Rattus norvegicus: one gene and its partners. The main gene of each other region encodes a partner of the protein of the gene in region 2 in a complex. Links are inferred from orthologs where the notes say so. Each region holds a gene or a part of one and is shown on either strand. Other genes may lie near its edges. The genes, in order: Cdc6, Ccna2, Gmnc and E2f1.

Region 1 (4,295 bases), on a different chromosome or scaffold from region 2:
ATTGTCTAGAACTCTAGTTCCAGGGGACCCAACATTCTCACACAACCATACATGCAAGTAAAATGCCAATGTGTGGGGACACACACAAACATACATAAATATACACATAATGTTTCAGCAAAAGTGTCCATAATTCAGATTCTTAGCATACCTTGAAGTCCTGCAGAATCCGGCTTAAACAGGCAGTTTTCCCAGTTCCAGGAGCGCCAGAAAGGTAGAGACTCCCAGCTTTTTTCCCACAGATGTGCTCCTTCAGGAAATCCCTGATGACACCCATCTCCTGTTCTCTGGCAGGCAGCCGGTCCGGGACAGCTGTATTCAGGACAAGCTTTGCCTGTTGATAGCAAGTGCCTGTGCCGGAATAAAGGTCAATTAAGACACAGCCAAAGGTGACCGGGTTTCATTTGGCTCCACCAGCATAGTTCATGATGGCTAGGCTACCACATAAGGACTCACCTTCCTGCTTGAACAGTCGCATACACGCGGATTCCTTCTCTGGTGGGCATTTCTGCTCAGGATTTGTTTCGCTCTCTTGACCTCTTTGAGCGGAGGAAAGTATTTGGTGCTGGGGAACTCTGTCTTGTTCTTTTGGGGCGGAAGCCTTAACTGCCAGCTCATCATCGAATATTAATCTGCATCCCTTCCGTGTATGTGAGCGAGGGGGGCCGTTTTCCTTCCTGCCCAGCTTGGGCGGAGAACATGGAGATAAATGGGGAGTGTTGCACAGATTGTCATCACCTGAAGCACAGAGCAGAACTCACTCACTCACTGCAATGCTGTCACCCCCAAAAACACTAACTGCAGAATGTGGTCCTTCATAGGAGGACAGGAAAGAACTACAGACATCTCCCACATCCGGAAAGAGGTGGTTTCTTTCTCTGTTGAGACAGGAGACCCTGGCTATCCTGGTAACCCAGATGCCCCCGCAGTCACAAAAGATCTGTGTGCCTCTGCCTCCGGAGGACTGGAGGTGTGCACCACCACCACCACCACCGACAAGAGGTGAATTTCTACCTGAGTCAGAACCACCGAAGAAACTTCTCACCAAGGAGCAAATGTGGCCACCAGATGGCACCCCTGAATCTTATCATTTGGTAGTTCTAGTGGGGTGAAACTGTAAGGTTGTTTTAAAATAGGACTCGTCAACCTGGGCTCAAGGGACCTGACATCTCGGGGTAAAGAACTTCCCTCTCTGGGAAGCTGTTTGTGTGCATTGTTGAATGTCCAGCAGACTTGTTAGCTTTTTTTTTTTTTTTTTCTTTGGTTCTTTTTTTCGGAGCTGGGGACCGAACCCAGGGCCTTGCGCTTCCTAGGCAAGCGCTCTACCACTGAGCCAAATCCCCAACCCCAGAACATTTCTTTAAAAACAAAACAAAAAACAAAAAAAACAAAGCAAAAACAAACAAACAAACAAAAACCCACAAAAACAAAACAACAAGAACAACAAAAAAAGAGACATCAAAAAATGGAAATGATAGTTAAGTACTATTTGAAAACAAAAACAGGGCTGGAGAGATGGCTCAGACGTTAAGAGCACTGACTGCTCTTCCAGAGGTCCTGAGTTCGATTCCCAGCAACCACATGGCGGGTCACGACCATCTGAAATGGGATCTGATGCCCTCTTCTGGTGTGTCTGAGGACAGCAATAGTGCACCCACATACATGAAATAAATATATTTTTTTAAAAAAAGAAAAACAAAAATAATAAAAAAATTTAATAATCTCATCTAATTGTTTTTTTTTTCTTTCTCAAGACAGGGGTTCTCTGTGTAACTCAGGCTGTCCTGAAACTTACTCTGTGGACCAGGTTGGCCCCAAAACTCAAGAGATCCACCTGCCTCTGCCTTCTAAGTGCTGGGGTTCCAAGTGTGCTCACCACCTCCTGGCTTACTTTGTTGCTTCTTAATTTCACAAGTATGCAGGCAAATCTCACAACACTATAACTTCACGGAAAATTTAAAGGACAGAACCAAGGAAATGAAGATCAAACCTAGGTTCCTCAGCAAATGGTCCCTGTTAGTTGTCGACTTAACTGTGAAGTTCAGTACACACTTGGCAGCCATTATGGAAACAAATACAGCCCAGGATTTAGGGGACAGGCATCTCCGCACAGAGGTAAGAAAGGCTGACAGCTCAGTCATAGTCACACTCGCAGAGTGAAAGCTTACCCAAACGTTTTCGGGGACTGAGAGGCAGAATTTTTATGTCCGCACACGGAGTGGTGGGTACAGGCTGGACGTTTCTAAGTTTTACTTCACTGTCACGGGAGTTTGTCTTGCTCAGGGTCTTAGATTGCTTCTTTTTCGGAAAGTCGATGGTAGCTTGTGTCTGGGATCGGGTTTGAGGCATGATGGCCACACAACTGGATACAAAGAAGAATCAGGAAAAGCAAAGAGAAAAACACACAGAGCTTACTTTATACTGGGGACCAGGACTCCATAAGTCATGTTAACATAGCATTTTTAACATTTCCTGCCTCCGGTGCAAATCTATGTAAAAGTGTAACATCGGTCTGCCTAGTACGCGTAACATTCCGTTATACACATATTACACACTTCAGTCTTACCATACCTCAGAGGTAGAAACTATTAGCCCTCTCTTAAAGAGATAATCACAGAAAACCACGGCTATCCTGGTCATCCAGGGACCAGAACCCAAGTTCTTACACTTGAGCGATGCCAGAAGTTTATCTCCAGTAATTTCTATAATACTTCTAGTTCCTTCACTCCAGACATGCGAGACGTCTTTAGCACTAGTTTAGTTCCAGACATTTAGGCTCTCCCAAGTCCAGGCAGTGCAGCTCCGTCCTCCCCTGCACAGAACTAGCCAGCACTCCACAAAGCTCTCAACCCCACCCTACACCATTTCCTCCCAGCAGCTCTCTGCTCCTTCCCAACACTCCATGCTCGGACCGCTTCTAGAGCTCACAACGCCCTCCCTGACCCAGCCTCAGACCCCAGGCGATTTCCGCTCTCCACCGGCCTTGCTCAGACCAGCCTCAATTCTGTGGGCACCAGACCTCACGGAGCTTTGCACTCTTCAGGAATGTGTCGCTCAGTGCACGCTCCCCTGATCTCGATCAGAACCGCAAGGACTCTCCGGCCACAAGGTCCACAGCTGCTGCAAAGTCAGCTCGCGCCAAATTCGCTCCACCTCAGCGTTCTCCTCTCCCGCCAAAGCCCAGCCAGGCTTCTGATTAGTTGTCACTAATCACCACGCCTTCGCCGGTGGCAGTTGGCAGCCAATAGGGACAGCCCCAGGTCTCAGCGCCCAACACGAAGTCACACCCACTCGTCCAGGAGGGCGTTAACTTCAGAGACCTCGGAGGAAGGGCGCGCGCTTGCGACCACGCCACGCCGCAAGGCCTGGCGGGAAGTGTAGTTTTTGCTTCCACGCAGTCTACTTCCGCATTTTTATTTCTACAGGGAGATCATTGTTCCTGGTATTGCCTAACGTTCTCATTCTCCTGGGCTATCTTTGCTCCTCTTCTCTGCCAAATGTACCTATTTTCATTATTCTGGTGAGCTAGATTTTAAGGGGGCAGTCTTGTATGGCAGGAAGCAAATGAATGCATAAGGTCACAGTTTTCTGAGGGGCTGATGACTTGAACCAGGGTTTGGGGGGGCAAGTTCTAGACCTATATAAGCAAACTGACATCATCTCACTATTTGTTGACTTGCGCTTGAAAAGTGAGAAGCAAGTCCAACACCAAACGTACAATTTCAAGGTAATACATTCCAAGTGCCTTCTTAACATTAATCTATCTACACATCGTAGGGAGTAAAATTATGTCCCTTTAATTTGAAAATCTTTTATGGCCAAGCACTAGGGTTTCGGAGCCAGGGAAGACAGTTATTGGAGAGGCAAGCTGAGCATTTAATGAAAAATGTTAATTAGAGCAGTAATTTGCATGCTCTAAGGTTAATAACCCTTGGGTTCTTTTAAAGACCAGAACCCAAATCTAGGTAATGGTGAAGTTTATGGGATTTTGTTGTTTGTTTGTTTTTTGTTGCTTTCTCTTTTTTTGAGACTTTTCCCTTTTTTTGTAGCTCTGGCTGTCCTAGAACTACATAGAATAGGCTGGCCTCAAACTCAGAGATCTGTCTGGGTCTGCTTCTCAAGTGCTGGGATTAAAAGAATGCATCATACCTAGCTATAAAACATATCTTTTATCCTCCGATACCAAATAAAATAGACATAAAGCTAGGAATAGGAGAGCAACAGGACAACCATCAGTTAACTTATTTCAAATAGCTGGTAAGAGCTAATGAGTCTTTTTTTTTTTTTTTTTTTTT
Region 2 (4,270 bases):
TAGAATTGGGTAAATGGCATATATTACCAAATGTTAGTAAAGATATCAAGTCTGTCATACCATGTTCAAACAGACTAACTATAATCTGTAAGGGACTTGGTGTTTGTTAAACAGGGTCTCATTCTGTGGGCCAGACTGGCCTGAAATTCACTCCGTAACCTAGGCTGACAATCTTGCCTTAGCCTCCTGAGTGCTATTGGGCATTAATATACTCAGCTCTAGTTTTTACCATTTAAATTATCTTGAGATAGGGGAATCTGTGTAATAATAGTTTCCATACCCTCCTCCTACCCCATCAGTAGAACTAAGTGAACTGGGGGGCTGGGAAATGGCAGTGCAGTGCCTGCTGGATAAGCATGAAGATGTGCATTGCATTCCCAGCACCACTCAAGCTAGATGTTGTGGCATTGTCTGCAACCCTAGACGGGAAGAAGAAAAAGGGTTGAAATACTCAGTTCCCTGCAGTTTGATGGCCAGGCTGTCTAGCCAAATCAGTGAGCCCCAATGAGACCTTTGATTAAGAAATGATATAGAAAAGTGATTGAAGATACCCCAAAGTCAAGTACTCTCTCTAGCCTCTACATGTACCAGCACAGGCAAGCGTAATACTCCTTCCCCTGGCACACATATAGCATAAGGTAGAAAGTGACAGATACCAACATCTCTGGTCTCCACAGTGAGATCATAGCACCGGCAGAGCTGTCTATAGCAGCTATTCTGCCTTCCATGTGTCTGACCTGCAATCTGACAAACATTTAAATTAGTTTTAAAGGAATGGCAGATATAATGCTTAAAACTGTAGGCTCAAGGAGCACTCTTAGGACTGGCATGTTAAGAAGTGAATCATACATAAAACTGAAATCTATTATCTCAGCCAAACACTTATAAAGTCATATTAAGATAGGCATTTAAGATCTAATTAAAATTGATGTAGCTTTGTCCAGCAGTGCCCTCCCTGCTGGTTAAGGATTTGAGTCCTTTTATAGGTCAGTGGATCTGTGATCCTTTCTAAGCCCACTGTAGTAATCTTAACTCACTGTGTTATGAGCAGGTAAGCATAGTCTTAAAACTCAAAAATATCAACCGCAGGACTTTTGGTGACTGCAGTCGATCAGTGCTAAAGTACAGTGGTAAAATCCGTTAGTCATGGCTATGATGAACACATTTGGAGTGAAAATTTTAAAAATGCTACGTATTTTAAATATATTTGAAACGACATTTTGATTCGTAAACTGAATGTAAATAAACCTGAAATTTGCAAAATTAAAAAAAACCTCAAAAATATCACTAACCCAATTAAGTAACTAATTTTTTAGCTTAATAACAATCTTTAGAGTATGCCAAGCAAGGTACGGATGGTGCCAGGCCTGTAATCTAGAATTTGAGAGGCTGAGGCAGGACGGTTTGAGTTCAAGGTTAGTCTGAGCTACAGATTGAGATCCTGTCTCAAAAGGTAAAGGTTTGGTGTGGTAGCACATGCCTTTAATCCCAGCAATCAGGAGGCAGAGGTAGGTGGATCTCTTATTTCAAGGCCAGCCTAGTCTTATAGAGTATGAGTTTCAGGACAGTCAAGAATACTCGAGAAACTCAGAGGGGGAAAAAAAGACAGCAAGGAGGGAAGGAAAGAAGAAACAGGGACTGGTAAAAATAAAGAGTAACCTTACCAAAACTACCATCCATTGGATAATCAAGAGGTACCAGTGGTTTTCTGGCTCCGGGTAAAGAGACAGCGGCACTAAAAGCCAGGGCATCTTCACACTGAGTTTCTTTTTGCTCAGCTGGCCTCTTCTGAGTCTCTTCAGCTTCATCCACATGAATGGTGAAGGCAGGCTGTTTACTGACTGCTTTCCATGAAGGAACAGTAGGGACGTGCTCATCGTTTATAGGAAGGTCCTTAAGAGGCGCAACCTAAAGAGAAGGAATTCTTTTTTAATACTTTGCTTCTTGCCCTGTGGGTACCAACTTTTATTTCCAAATACTCTTAAGAAAAATGTAAGTTCATGAGTCAAAGTCCAGGTAAGGTGAGTAAACCGATTTGTCACAGCCATTTCTACAAAGGCTATAAATGCAACGGATTGGAATTCCAAACTAATCAAAGACTAAAGTTAGGGGAAAGAACTGATTCACAACTTTAGCCTCAGGGTGGAGCAAAACAGCAAGTCTGGCTAAAATGGCGGAATTTACCAAGCAGAATACTTGCTTTATGTCCTTCCCTTAAGTAGTAATCTGTGAAGCAGATGGTGAGGGGGAAGGGATCTATATCCTACTGCAATGCCTGGCTTTAAAAGTGGAGGGAAAGGTACATGGCCGAAGTCGACACGCGGGGCACTGCTTGGTATGACCCTAGAATTTTTAGGAAGACCGCTCCACTAGTGCTGAAGGGCAGTATACACGGGTCCGCAGGGCTCGTGGGGCTATTTGGTACTAAAAACGCCCGGACCGCAAAGGCTGCAGCCCGACTACCCCTAGAAAGCTCAGCATGCTTTTTGGCCCTCTGGGCTGGTAAACCCAAGACCGCTTCCGCCCGGCCCTCCGACAGACCCCCGCGCCCTTTTACCCGCCGAGTCTTGAGCCTCTGCTGCGGCGCCGGTCCCCGCACCTTCCCGGCCTTCAGCACCGCCTGCGCCCGCGGCTGCTGGGCTGGCGCCACTTTTTCGGGGTTGACATTCTCCTGGTCTTCCTGCTGGGAGAGCAGGGCCGAGCCCGCCTGTCTCGAGTTGCCCGGCATTGCGGCTCCGGTCCGGATCCGTCGGCGGCAGAGCGTGCAAGGCGCCCGCCGCTCCCGGGCTGCGCGGGACCCTGGCGGCCGACGCACGGAGCAGGCGCTGCGGGAGGGAGGAGCGCAGAGCCCAAGTGCCGCGAGCCGCGCGCGGCCCGCCGGCTGTTCTTGTAGTTCAAGTAGCCCGCGACTATTGAAATGGACCAATGAGGGCGGTCGGGGCCAGTGACGTCACCAGGAGCGCCGGTCGCCGCGAGCAAAGGCCCGACGGGAATCTGGCAGGGCGGGCGCCTGAGGGACGCGCCTGCGCAGAGAAGGGCGGGGCAAGCGGCAGCCTTCCGCAACTCTCCGATCCTCTGTGGGTCTGTAACCTCCCAGGATCCTACCAGAGCAGCTGGGCGGACCAGACTAGCCCTCGGGGCCTCGGAGTGTCAGCATTCCTGTCAGCTAAGGGGTGTAGCGACTTCCCCTGGTCGCTGGGTGGCGCCTAGGCAGGACTGTATGGACTCAGCTGACTAGCCGCTCCCTTACCAGCTGACTAGCTGCTCCTCTCTCTCGGTGGTGCTGCCCATTCAACACAGGGAAACTGATATTTTTACTGTTTACTACTGCTTCGCCTCTCCTGTATATATTTTTTGTTTGTTGTTTTTGAGGCAGGGTCTCCCAGTTGTCCTGCGATTCACTGACAATCCACCCGCCTCGGTCTCATGAGTTCTGTTCTAGGACTAAAGGCATGTGTCACTATGCCTGGTATTCCAGTAAACTTTTCCTCGCCTCTAATAAAGATGGGTCAATTTAAAATGCCAACTTGAGCTATTGTTGGTACCAAGTGGTGTATTACAAGAAATTCAGATGTCCATTTATTTTGTTAATCCTTGGTTGTGACATCAAATAGTACACCATGAAGTTCCAGTGACCCAAATAGATATTACATTTAAAATGAACTGCATGAGTTCAAGTTAGTTCCAAGTCAGCTATTTAGTGAGACGATGTCTCAAGAGTAGAAAAAGTGTGCATAAGAAAACGGGGCAGCCAGGAGGCGGTGGCTAAACCTTTAATGCAGGCAACTCACCAGGCGGGTGGATCTCTTGTGAGTTCAAGGCCAGCCTGGAGGGCAGAGCTAGTTCCGGGTCAGCTACACAAAGAAATCCTGTCTTGAAAATCAAACCAAACCAAACCAAACCAAACCAAACCAAACCACCCCCACCCCCCCCACACACACACACGGAGGGAAGGAGGGAGAGAGAGGGAGGGAGAGAAATACAAAACCTTACTAAAATAAAGACCCAACTATACGTGCCTTAAATGTTCGTATTTAATATTTAAGAATTGCACATAAAATATAATAAAATGTAATTATTGTTTTCTGAAAAATTCATATTTACCCTTTGAAAACAAAAGACAGCTTATTTTCTCTTATTTTTTTAGTATTTTAAAACTTTCAATGCAATATTCCCCTGAAATGAATGACTAAAACTTCTGTTGCTTTTAAGTCTTCTTTTTTCCCTCACGTGTACAATAAGAAGGAGTTTTGTGGATACTAGTAGGGGG
Region 3 (4,101 bases), on a different chromosome or scaffold from region 2:
GTCTTTCCAAATGTCCATGCAGGGCAGGCAGGCTGCCCTAAGTTGTCCAACAGCCCACTCTTAATTATGTGTCAATGTTTAATCAGGTAAAAGACATCTGTGGCAACAGAGGACAGGTTTGAACAAACTTTTTGAACACTGTCAGTCTGTTGCTGCCTTGAAGACTTTCTTAGACATAACATAAATAAAGATACCAGAAGAGAAAGCAGAAAGGAGGGAGAGGAAAGGAGGGAGAGGAGGAGGGGTGAGGAAGAGGAGGAGGAAGGAAAGGAGGAAGAAGAAGAGGAGGAGTAAGAAAATAAAACTAAGTTATCATTGAGTCTCTAGACTAACACTTGGGCTCTGCTCCCAGCGAGTGAACTTTTAGAGTACAGCTTGGGCAGCCGTTGCCTAAAGAAATGCAGCCAAAGGTTTATCAAGTGCTGTGTTCTTTTTTTCTTTCTAAAAGTATGTTTGTAGACTCTTTTCGGAGGTTATTATTGGAATCAGAGCTAAGCTATTATGCAATTGACACCCGAGAGGAAAACAAACCCCAAAGGCTCCTAAGCAGTTCCAATCTAAGTGTTTGCAAATGTGGGCATCAGCTGGAGGAACAGGTGGGGGGGAAAGAAAGTCTGTGCGGGGTGAGGGCAAATGGGTGGGGTAGGGAGGCAAATGTGCAAAGAACGGGAACAGAGAATAAAAGGGGTGCCTATTTTAATTGGAAAGTACAAAGGCATCTCCCAAAGAGGAGTATATTTGAAATGCAGTTTACTGTCTTCCAGGGCCCCCAGGTCCTGGCAGCAGACCAGTTAAGGCCAGCTCCTCACTTACCATGTCGCAGAAGAAAGCGCTGAAGATACTAGGCTCACTCAACTTTCTCTTAAAGCCAGCCTTAACTTTAAACGGGACTGCAGGGAGGAGCAAGGAGGCGAGTTCTAATCCGCCGGAGCTGCCAGTGACGCGCGCGAGGCTCCTGGCCGGCGCTGCTCTCTGATTTAGTAGGAGGCTGTCAAACAAGGTGACGTGCGTGCCTAGGGAGCCGCCCAACCTAAGCCACGGCCACTCCCGAGACACCCGCACTGGGACGTGAGATCTGCGCGTCTCCTTGCGGACGCGGAGGCAGCATCCAAGGCACGCCCGCCCGGTCAAAGCCTGTGCCTGTGTGAGCTCAGTCTACAGAGTCTACCTGGCGCGGTGGCAGCCGGCGATGGGGTCTTGGCTGCCCTGCTCGCTCTGCGCCACGCGCCCAGCAGCCGGCAGGGCGGGGCCGGGCAGGGCGGCCAGCCAGCCCCCGGAGGCATCTGAAGGCCAAACCTTGGTCTCTGCACAGCACTAAAGCCCATCCAAGGGGCCCTGGTGTGAGTGGCGCTCTGTGCATTCCCTGGTCACAGGATAACAAGTGATGGTAACTTAATAGCAGCCACTAGATTTTATTTTATTTTTTTCATATTTAATGCAAGAACCCAGTTCTTGCAAGGCTTAAATGTAAGGGGAAAATGTATAAAGTCTGGAATATATATTTTCCAAGACATCTATCATGAACCATGGCCTGCAAAAGTACTGAATAAAATTTGTTCAAACAGTGAATTAGAGTTTATAGTTAGGAATCTAAAGTGGTTTTCGCTCAGTTGGGCTGATGCACGGCACAATTATATAAAACAAAAAATATTAATATTAAGAAAAATAATGTCTGTCAATACTTCATAGCATATTTTATTTCCCTATCTTTTATTTTATCCTTATATGTATCTCTACAATGTTCAATCTAGGGATGACAGAGAAGCAATGCCTCCTTTAGGCAAACCCCAGTAGGCAACTCTCACTTGTGCTGACCATTTAAATGGACGTAAAGTAGTGGATGACTAGGGTCCAGCTCCAACAAGCCTGGGAATATCCCTAGAGGTCTCGAAGGCACCCTGACAGGCATCTGCACAACACTGTCTGTTGCTGTTCAAGTCACAGAACCAAGGAGTGGACAGTGCTCAGCAACAGATAATATACACATGAGGAAAATATATAAACCAGGGAGCCTTATTTAGCTATAAAGAATGACATTATGTCCTTTGTATAAAAAAAATGCTAGTCTTAGATACCATAATGCTAAGTGAAATAAGCCAGAGCCATAACAAATACCTTGTATATTCTTTTTTATGAAAAGAGTCTCTATTTAAAGTGCATGTATATGAGTATGTGTGTGTGTGTGTGTGTGTGTGTGTGTGTGTGTGTGTGTGTGTGTGTGTGTGTGTAAGGACCAGAGTGTGGAAGGGACAAGAGAGAGTAATGGGTGTAAATATTAGCAAAGTACATTCTGTACATGCACGATTAGGAAGCCCGATATTTTGTACAATGAATAAATGCTAATTTAGAAAAACGCTAAAGAGGTGGACAGTCAACATAGAAGCCATGTTGACTCTCAGTGTAAAAGGGAAGCCCTGGGGGTAAGAAAGTGAACACTGTTAGCACAATATGTGAGTGTCAGTCTTGGGTTTTGGACTTCAGGCTAAGCCGTCCAAACTTCATTCTACCTATCGCAAGAACATTGCATTCAACGCGCTACACACAGATGTGTGCGTAATTGGCACAGTTACGATACCAATTTGCACTTCTTTCAAATTCATAGGTTGAGGCTCTGGTGCCAGTGTTAACTAGATTTAGAGAAAGGTTACTTCAAGAACAAAGTTTAAATGTGTTCATAAGAGTAGACCTTATGCCTGGTGGTATTATCAGAAGGTAGACACACCAGGGACCTGGGATGGCACTCAAACAAAATGTCATAGCAGGACAGAGTTTACAGACATCTGTTTGGGGTTCAAGAAGGGAAAGCTCAGGAAAAAACATGTGCCCAGCAGAAACCTCGATGTTGCACTTCCAACCTCTCTGAGAGCCAGGCTTGACCTACTATAGCATGACTGCTAGGTAGCCCTGGCAAACTGATATGGACGTGACACAGAAACTGAGAACCAGAGTTTGAGTCCAGATTAAATATTTTGTTCTTTAGAGAAGAAATTAACATTTCTTTGTTCTCTTCCTCTGTCTATAATAGAATTTAGAAAAACTATGAGGTGACTAAATGGCTCAGTACCCCCACGATCAAGAAAGGTATAGAGGAGGGAGTTGAGAATGTGTCAGACTCAGTGGTATTCTTTCTCCTGCTCTGATAATATTTATTTGTAAATTTTAATGAACAAGACTACACGTGAAGATCACTGCACGGGAAATTGATGAACTGGATCACTCAATGCCAGCCCATTCCAATGTGTTCTAAGAGAAAGCAGTTCCCACTCTGCTCTGACAGTACAAAGGACAAAGTACCAAATTCATTTAGATCTTGTGAATGAGCGGTCTTGTTCCAGTCAAAGCGTTGTTCATGCATTAGTCCTGCAAACACCTAAGCTCTTTAACAAAGCCTGGTAGTTTCATAATGAGCAGCAGAGGCAGAGACGGGAGGACTGAGTAGACTTGCTTTGGGAAGTTGTTACAGATGAGAAGTGTGAGAAGTGTAAGCCTTCGCAATGAATGACACAAGGCAGGTAAGTGAGCAAATATAGCATGATAAAAAGAAAAGAAATGGCCATTGGCTTTGCATTAAAATATTTGTGGATTCCTTATCCTGAATAAACCTGTAGGTTGCTATATCAAGGTCTCTCGATTCTAGTAATCCATTTGATGGATTAGAAGAAAAATGCCTACAAGAGAGTTCAAATATGAATCATATCTGCTAATGCTCAATAATTTTCCTATTTGCTGATTAAATACTAGTAACATTTTTACTATTACTCACAGGGAGACTTCTGGCTTTGAAGACGTATAAATGTCTATTGCTCTGCAGGGTCTACTAAATTTTCTGAAGGGCATGCTGGATGTGCAAACTGGGTATTTTTTTCTTGAGGGTTAGATGTAAGTCTTAAAATTCTTTAATGTATTTTTAGAATATAAATGCTTTGGAAACAACTACTTTAGCACAGTACACATGGGCGAGCACATGGTAATATAGAATCCAAGAACACTGGAGAGCTATTCTCAGTTGAGTGCAAATCAGATCATAAATCAGATCATAAACTCTTGGTGAAGTTAAAACACAGTGGAGGTGGGTGTGGTCGTCCACACACTTAACCCTAG
Region 4 (4,334 bases), on a different chromosome or scaffold from region 2:
CCGGAGCTGGGGACCAAACCCAGGGCCTTGTGCTTGCTAGGCAAGCGCTCTACCACTGAGCTAAATCCCCAACCCCAAGCCTGTCTTTTACAGACTTAATGTATGGTACTACATACTGTCCACAGTAAACAAGTACTACATTATAATGGAAACATCAGCTTCTTGCTGTTACCATTTTGAAACAGGGTCTTTGTAGTGCAGGCTGGCTTTGAACTCAAGACTCAGTATCCTCATTCTTGCCTGCTTGGATTATAAGATGTCAGTTAACCAAAATAGGCTGTTGGTGTTTTAATTTATTTTTATTTAACTAATTTGCTTTTTAAATTGTTTTCTTTTTAAAAAGAACTTTGTGTCCGTATGACTATATATGAACATGGGTACCCAAGGACAGGAGAAGACAATATCAAACCCCTCGAAACTGGAGTTGGTCATCTGTGACCTCAGTGTTGGGCTGTGATCAAACTTAAGTTGTCATATAGAATAGCAAGTGCTTTCAATGGCTAAACCATCTCTCCAGACCAACTTCCTTTAAGGTACAGTTTCACTCTAGGTAACCCTGGCTGGCCTTGAACATGTGGATTCTCCTGTCTCTGCTTCTCCCTAGTCAATACACCCCGATAGGATCTATAAACACACACACACACACACACACACACACACACACACACACAGACAAGGTAAAGGTAGGTAGGGCAGGAAGAATGTCTGAATTGCAGAGGTGTAGAGAGGTACACAGGAAGCACCCAGCAAGTGCTCACTGGGTGGAAGCCAAGCCTGTAGCTTATTTCAAGGACTGCCCCCCCACCCCAAATTCCAGAGCAAAGTCAGTAGAGGCCAAAATCCAGATTTGCATTCCTGGCCTTTGGCTCCAGGATGGTGTCAACCTCTCCCACAGAAAATGTTTGCTGGGCCTTAAGTACCGTGGGGGAAGGGGATCCTTAAGTACCTCTGCACCTAGCACATAATGGGGACTCACGAACTCCACAACTTGAGTGAATGCAATGTTTAGTCAAATGTAGAATATCTGCCCAGGGCCCAACCTTCTACCTACTGGTACAGGCCCGTGGAGTGGAGGGAAGGCAAGCCAGCTGACCCACCAAATACTGGCCGGCCTCCTCAGTGGGAGGAAAGGGCTTTAACAATCAGGAAATACCACTCCCTAGAAGAATGATTAAGAAGTTCCATCATTTGTGGGCTTCAGCCTCCTCATCTATGGAAGGATGAAAAAGTAAGGCTGTCCACAGGGTTAAGTGGGTAAAGTGCTTAGCACAGAGCCTGGCACCCAAAACGTCCTCAAAACAATGGTGGTTGCTATTGTTATTGTTATTAGCATCTTGGTGATTCCGGAAGGAAGGCAGCACTGGGCACTGGGCCAAAGGGGGTATGGGCCTTCTCTAAGATGCCTCTGGGACCAGCTGCCACCCGCACCCCCACCAGGAGTTGAACAGTTTCTACTCCGGTATTGGGTCTGGCCCCTCCCGCTTGCTCCAAGCCCCCTGCTGTGAACACCTCCTGCTTGCTCCACCCCTACAATAAAGTTGGTGGCCCACTGGCTGAGCTGGCCCCTGCTTAGATCCAAGTTCCACTCTCCACTTCCGCTGCCTTTTCTAGGCCCCCAGCCTAAACTGGTCTTGCTACTTAGGATCAGGAAAAGACTTTATCCAGGGATCTCCCTCCCACGTCTTCTCTCTCCAGGAACTGGAGGCCCCTTCTCAGGGGCCCAGCCCACCCAGTCTTCCAGAGTCTCAGGGGTCTGTCCGCCTGATTAATAAAGTTCCATGGCAACCAGGGGCTGGAAGGGTGGCAGATGGAAGGACAGGCAGAGGAAGGGTTGCAGCAGCTGGCCCAGCACCCCGCCCCTGCAGAGAAGGCCTCCCAATCAAGAGGCCTATCCCCAGAGGCCTGGAAGGCCAGGCCTGCACCTGGCAGAGCCACGAAGGAGGGTCTCTCGAGGATGTCTCCAACAGTCACCCTCTTTCATCTCCATCAAGCAACTGTGCGCACTAACTAGCCATAGGTTCTGCAGCAAGCCAGCCGCCATCAGTTCAAATACCAGCCCCACCATCTGCAGCTGCGTGAAGCACTTCCCTGTCTCTGGGCCTCAGTTCCTCCCTCTGGCAGATGGGCACGTGACAACACCCAGCTCACAACAGAGTTGAGAATTTTGGCCGACTTCAAGTGTGCCAAAGCCTGGGCGTGCAATAAGCAAGCACCAGCTGAATACACGTGAGCCATTATCATTAATAAACCTGCCGCTCTGGTGAAGACGCTGAGGCCCAGAGCAAGGCGCAGCAAACAGACAGGGCAAGGCAGTCAGTCAGCGCGCGCCCCGGGGCGGAGCCCCGAGGCCCAGCCCAGACTCCGCACCGCCCAGCGCTGCAGCCCGCCCCTCCCCCGCCCGCGCCTAGGGTCCGTACCGGCGGGCGGCCGAGAGCCGGGCGCGGTGCACTAGGCGCGGGTCGGGGCGCCTGCGGCGTTGCGAAGAGCAGCACGTCAGGATCTCGAGGGCCAGCGGGCGGCGCGGCGGGGCCGGTGGGGACCTGCGGGGCGCCGACATCGGGCGCGGTGGAGATGATGACGATCTGCGAGGAGTCGAGCAGCCGCAGCGCGCCCGCCCCGAGCAGGGCCTCCAGCGCCGGCGCGTGCTGGCCGCCCGCGGGGGCTACGGCCATGGCACTCACGGCCCGCGTGGCCCGGGAGGCAGGCGGCGGCGGCGGCGCGGGCCCATGACGGCAGGCCGCGGCGAGGGCTCGATCCCGCTCCGCCCCGGCCGCCGCTGCCTGCAAAGTCCGGGCCACTTTTACGCGCCAAATCCTTTTTGCCGCGAAAGAGCCACGCGCCGCCGAACGCCTCCTCCATTGGCCTGCGTGGCTGTGACGAAGTCGGCTTCGGTAGCAGACATTGGTTGCAGCGTGCGGGGCAGGCGACGGAGGGTGGGACCAGGGGCGGGGTGGCCAATCGCGGGGCGGGGCGCGCGCAGGCTTTGTCCGGGCGGTGCCGGGCGCCTTCTCCCTTCTGCCTCTCGCTGTGCCCTGCAGGGGGCGTGGGCAATGGACCCCGCCCCCTTCACCGCCCACTCGATGGGTGGCGGGGTCTGGCGAAGGCAACAAACTTCGTACTTGGTTCTGCACGTCCCGCAGTCTCCACATGCCGCATGAGCCCCTAAACTCTCAACCTGTGGTCTCCACCCCCTCAGTTTACAGTCCAGAAACTGCTTCTTCTGCACGCTCAGGCTCACCTCCAAAGTTCACTTCAGCCACATCTCCGGTCTTAAGACCCACTTATTCCATTAGTTCACATCATGGGTTCTTCCCTGTCACCCAGAAGCCAAGCCCAAGAGGGGTGCCAGGAAATGAGTAGGGATGTGTGGCTTTGATCTCAGTCTCATTTTACTGAAATTCCTTTAGTAGCCAACGCCCAGTTATCGTTCATTCGTTTGGTCAGTCCACAATGGCACCTGTCTTTAATCCCAGCACTTGGGAGGCAGAGGCGGGCGGATTTTCCAAGTTCAGGCCATTCAGGACTACACAGTGAGACCCTGTCTCAAAAAAATCACAAACGCCTGAGAGCCTGTTTATTGTCCCATACTCAACCCAGACCTTGACTCCTGACTTAGTGAAAAGGAAAAAAGGGAACCGAGAGGCAGCAGATGCTTACAATGTGAAGAGATTGAACTAAGTAACTCCACGTTAGGCCTCACAGAGGGCGGTGCAGGGGTGGGGAGGGTGCATATGGAGGGATCCTTTAATCCTGAGGTCCTCCATCAGCATTTCTGATTGCTCAGGTCAGCCCATCTGATCAGCATTGTGGTCCTCTCTGACAGGCATCTTGCCAATACTGGGAATCGAAACACGAAAGGTTTAACAAGACCTACATACTTCCTGCCCTTGCGGGTGGGGATGACCACAAGAAGAGTAGCTGACAGGGGCTGGGGATTTAGCTCAGTGGTAGAGCCCTTACCTAGGAAGCTCAAGGCCCTGGGTTCGGTCCCCAGCTCCGGAAAAAAAAAAAAAAAAAAAAAAAAACCAAAAAAAAAAAAAAAAAGAAAAGAGTAGCTGACAATATTCAAGTCCCCAAGTCCAGTGTAGGCTACAAGGAGCTCTCAAGCCCGGGTACTTTCACTATCACCTCATACTACTTTATCTTCCACGCATCGGTTAACTTTGAACCACCCAACCTTGGTCAATTTAGAATCAATCCCAGGCCGCCCCCGCCCCCCTTTTTTTTTGTTTTTTTTGGGGGGGGTAGTTTGTTTCTTTGTTTTTTCGAGGCATGGTCTCATTGTCTGGCTCTGGCTGTCCTGGAACACGCTTAAGTATGCCTGCTTCTGCCTC

What was found.
Region 1: the proteins of Ccna2 (region 2) and Cdc6 are in contact, whole or in part, in a crystal structure (PDB 2CCH), measured with the Homo sapiens proteins. The link is inferred for Rattus norvegicus from reciprocal best matches to the Homo sapiens genes CCNA2 and CDC6. Residues at the interface, in NP_001228.2 of Homo sapiens: Met210, Ile213, Leu214, Trp217, Glu220, Val221, Glu224, Tyr225, Arg250, Leu253, Gln254, Glu277, Tyr280, Ile281, Thr282, Asp283, Thr285; in NP_001245.1 of Homo sapiens: His89, Thr90, Leu91, Lys92, Gly93, Arg94, Arg95, Leu96, Val97, Phe98, Asp99, Asn100.
Region 3: the proteins of Ccna2 (region 2) and Gmnc are in contact, whole or in part, in a cryo-EM structure (PDB 9HIU), measured with the Homo sapiens proteins. The link is inferred for Rattus norvegicus from reciprocal best matches to the Homo sapiens genes CCNA2 and GMNC. Residues at the interface, in NP_001228.2 of Homo sapiens: Met210, Ile213, Leu214, Asp216, Trp217, Glu220, Val221, Glu224, Arg250, Leu253, Gln254, Tyr280, Ile281, Thr282, Asp283, Thr285; in NP_001140158.1 of Homo sapiens: Asn165, Ala166, Lys167, Arg168, Asn169, Leu170, Ser171, Glu173, Phe174, Ala175.
Region 4: the proteins of Ccna2 (region 2) and E2f1 are in contact, whole or in part, in a crystal structure (PDB 1H24), measured with the Homo sapiens proteins. The link is inferred for Rattus norvegicus from reciprocal best matches to the Homo sapiens genes CCNA2 and E2F1. Residues at the interface, in NP_001228.2 of Homo sapiens: Met210, Ile213, Leu214, Trp217, Glu220, Val221, Glu224, Arg250, Gln254, Tyr280, Ile281, Thr282, Asp283, Thr285; in NP_005216.1 of Homo sapiens: Val88, Lys89, Arg90, Arg91, Leu92, Asp93, Leu94, Glu95.

The regions. Positions count from the first base shown.
Region 1 is NC_086028.1:84,359,409-84,363,703, reverse strand, and holds the start of Cdc6 (cell division control protein 6 homolog), read right to left. Parts: upstream 2,840-4,295; 5' UTR 2,667-2,839; intron 2,363-2,666; 5' UTR 2,350-2,362; coding exon 2,169-2,349; intron 739-2,168; coding exon 457-738; intron 352-456; coding exon 152-351; intron 1-151. UniProt on the Homo sapiens protein: Involved in the initiation of DNA replication. Also participates in checkpoint controls that ensure DNA replication is completed before mitosis is initiated.
Region 2 is NC_086020.1:121,358,868-121,363,137, forward strand, and holds the start of Ccna2 (cyclin-A2), read right to left. Parts: upstream 2,830-4,270; 5' UTR 2,729-2,829; coding exon 2,558-2,728; intron 1,909-2,557; coding exon 1,665-1,908; intron 745-1,664; coding exon of another isoform or gene 657-744; intron 1-656. UniProt on the Homo sapiens protein: Cyclin which controls both the G1/S and the G2/M transition phases of the cell cycle. Functions through the formation of specific serine/threonine protein kinase holoenzyme complexes with the cyclin-dependent protein kinases CDK1 or CDK2.
Region 3 is NC_086029.1:87,338,338-87,342,438, reverse strand, and holds the start of Gmnc (geminin coiled-coil domain-containing protein 1), read right to left. Parts: upstream 2,823-4,101; 5' UTR 817-2,822; coding exon 814-816; intron 1-813. UniProt on the Homo sapiens protein: Regulator of DNA replication. Promotes initiation of chromosomal DNA replication by mediating TOPBP1- and CDK2-dependent recruitment of CDC45L onto replication origins.
Region 4 is NC_086021.1:163,532,739-163,537,072, forward strand, and holds the start of E2f1 (transcription factor E2F1), read right to left. Parts: upstream 2,826-4,334; 5' UTR 2,673-2,825; coding exon 2,418-2,672; intron 1-2,417. UniProt on the Homo sapiens protein: Transcription activator that binds DNA cooperatively with DP proteins through the E2 recognition site, 5'-TTTC[CG]CGC-3' found in the promoter region of a number of genes whose products are involved in cell cycle regulation or in DNA replication.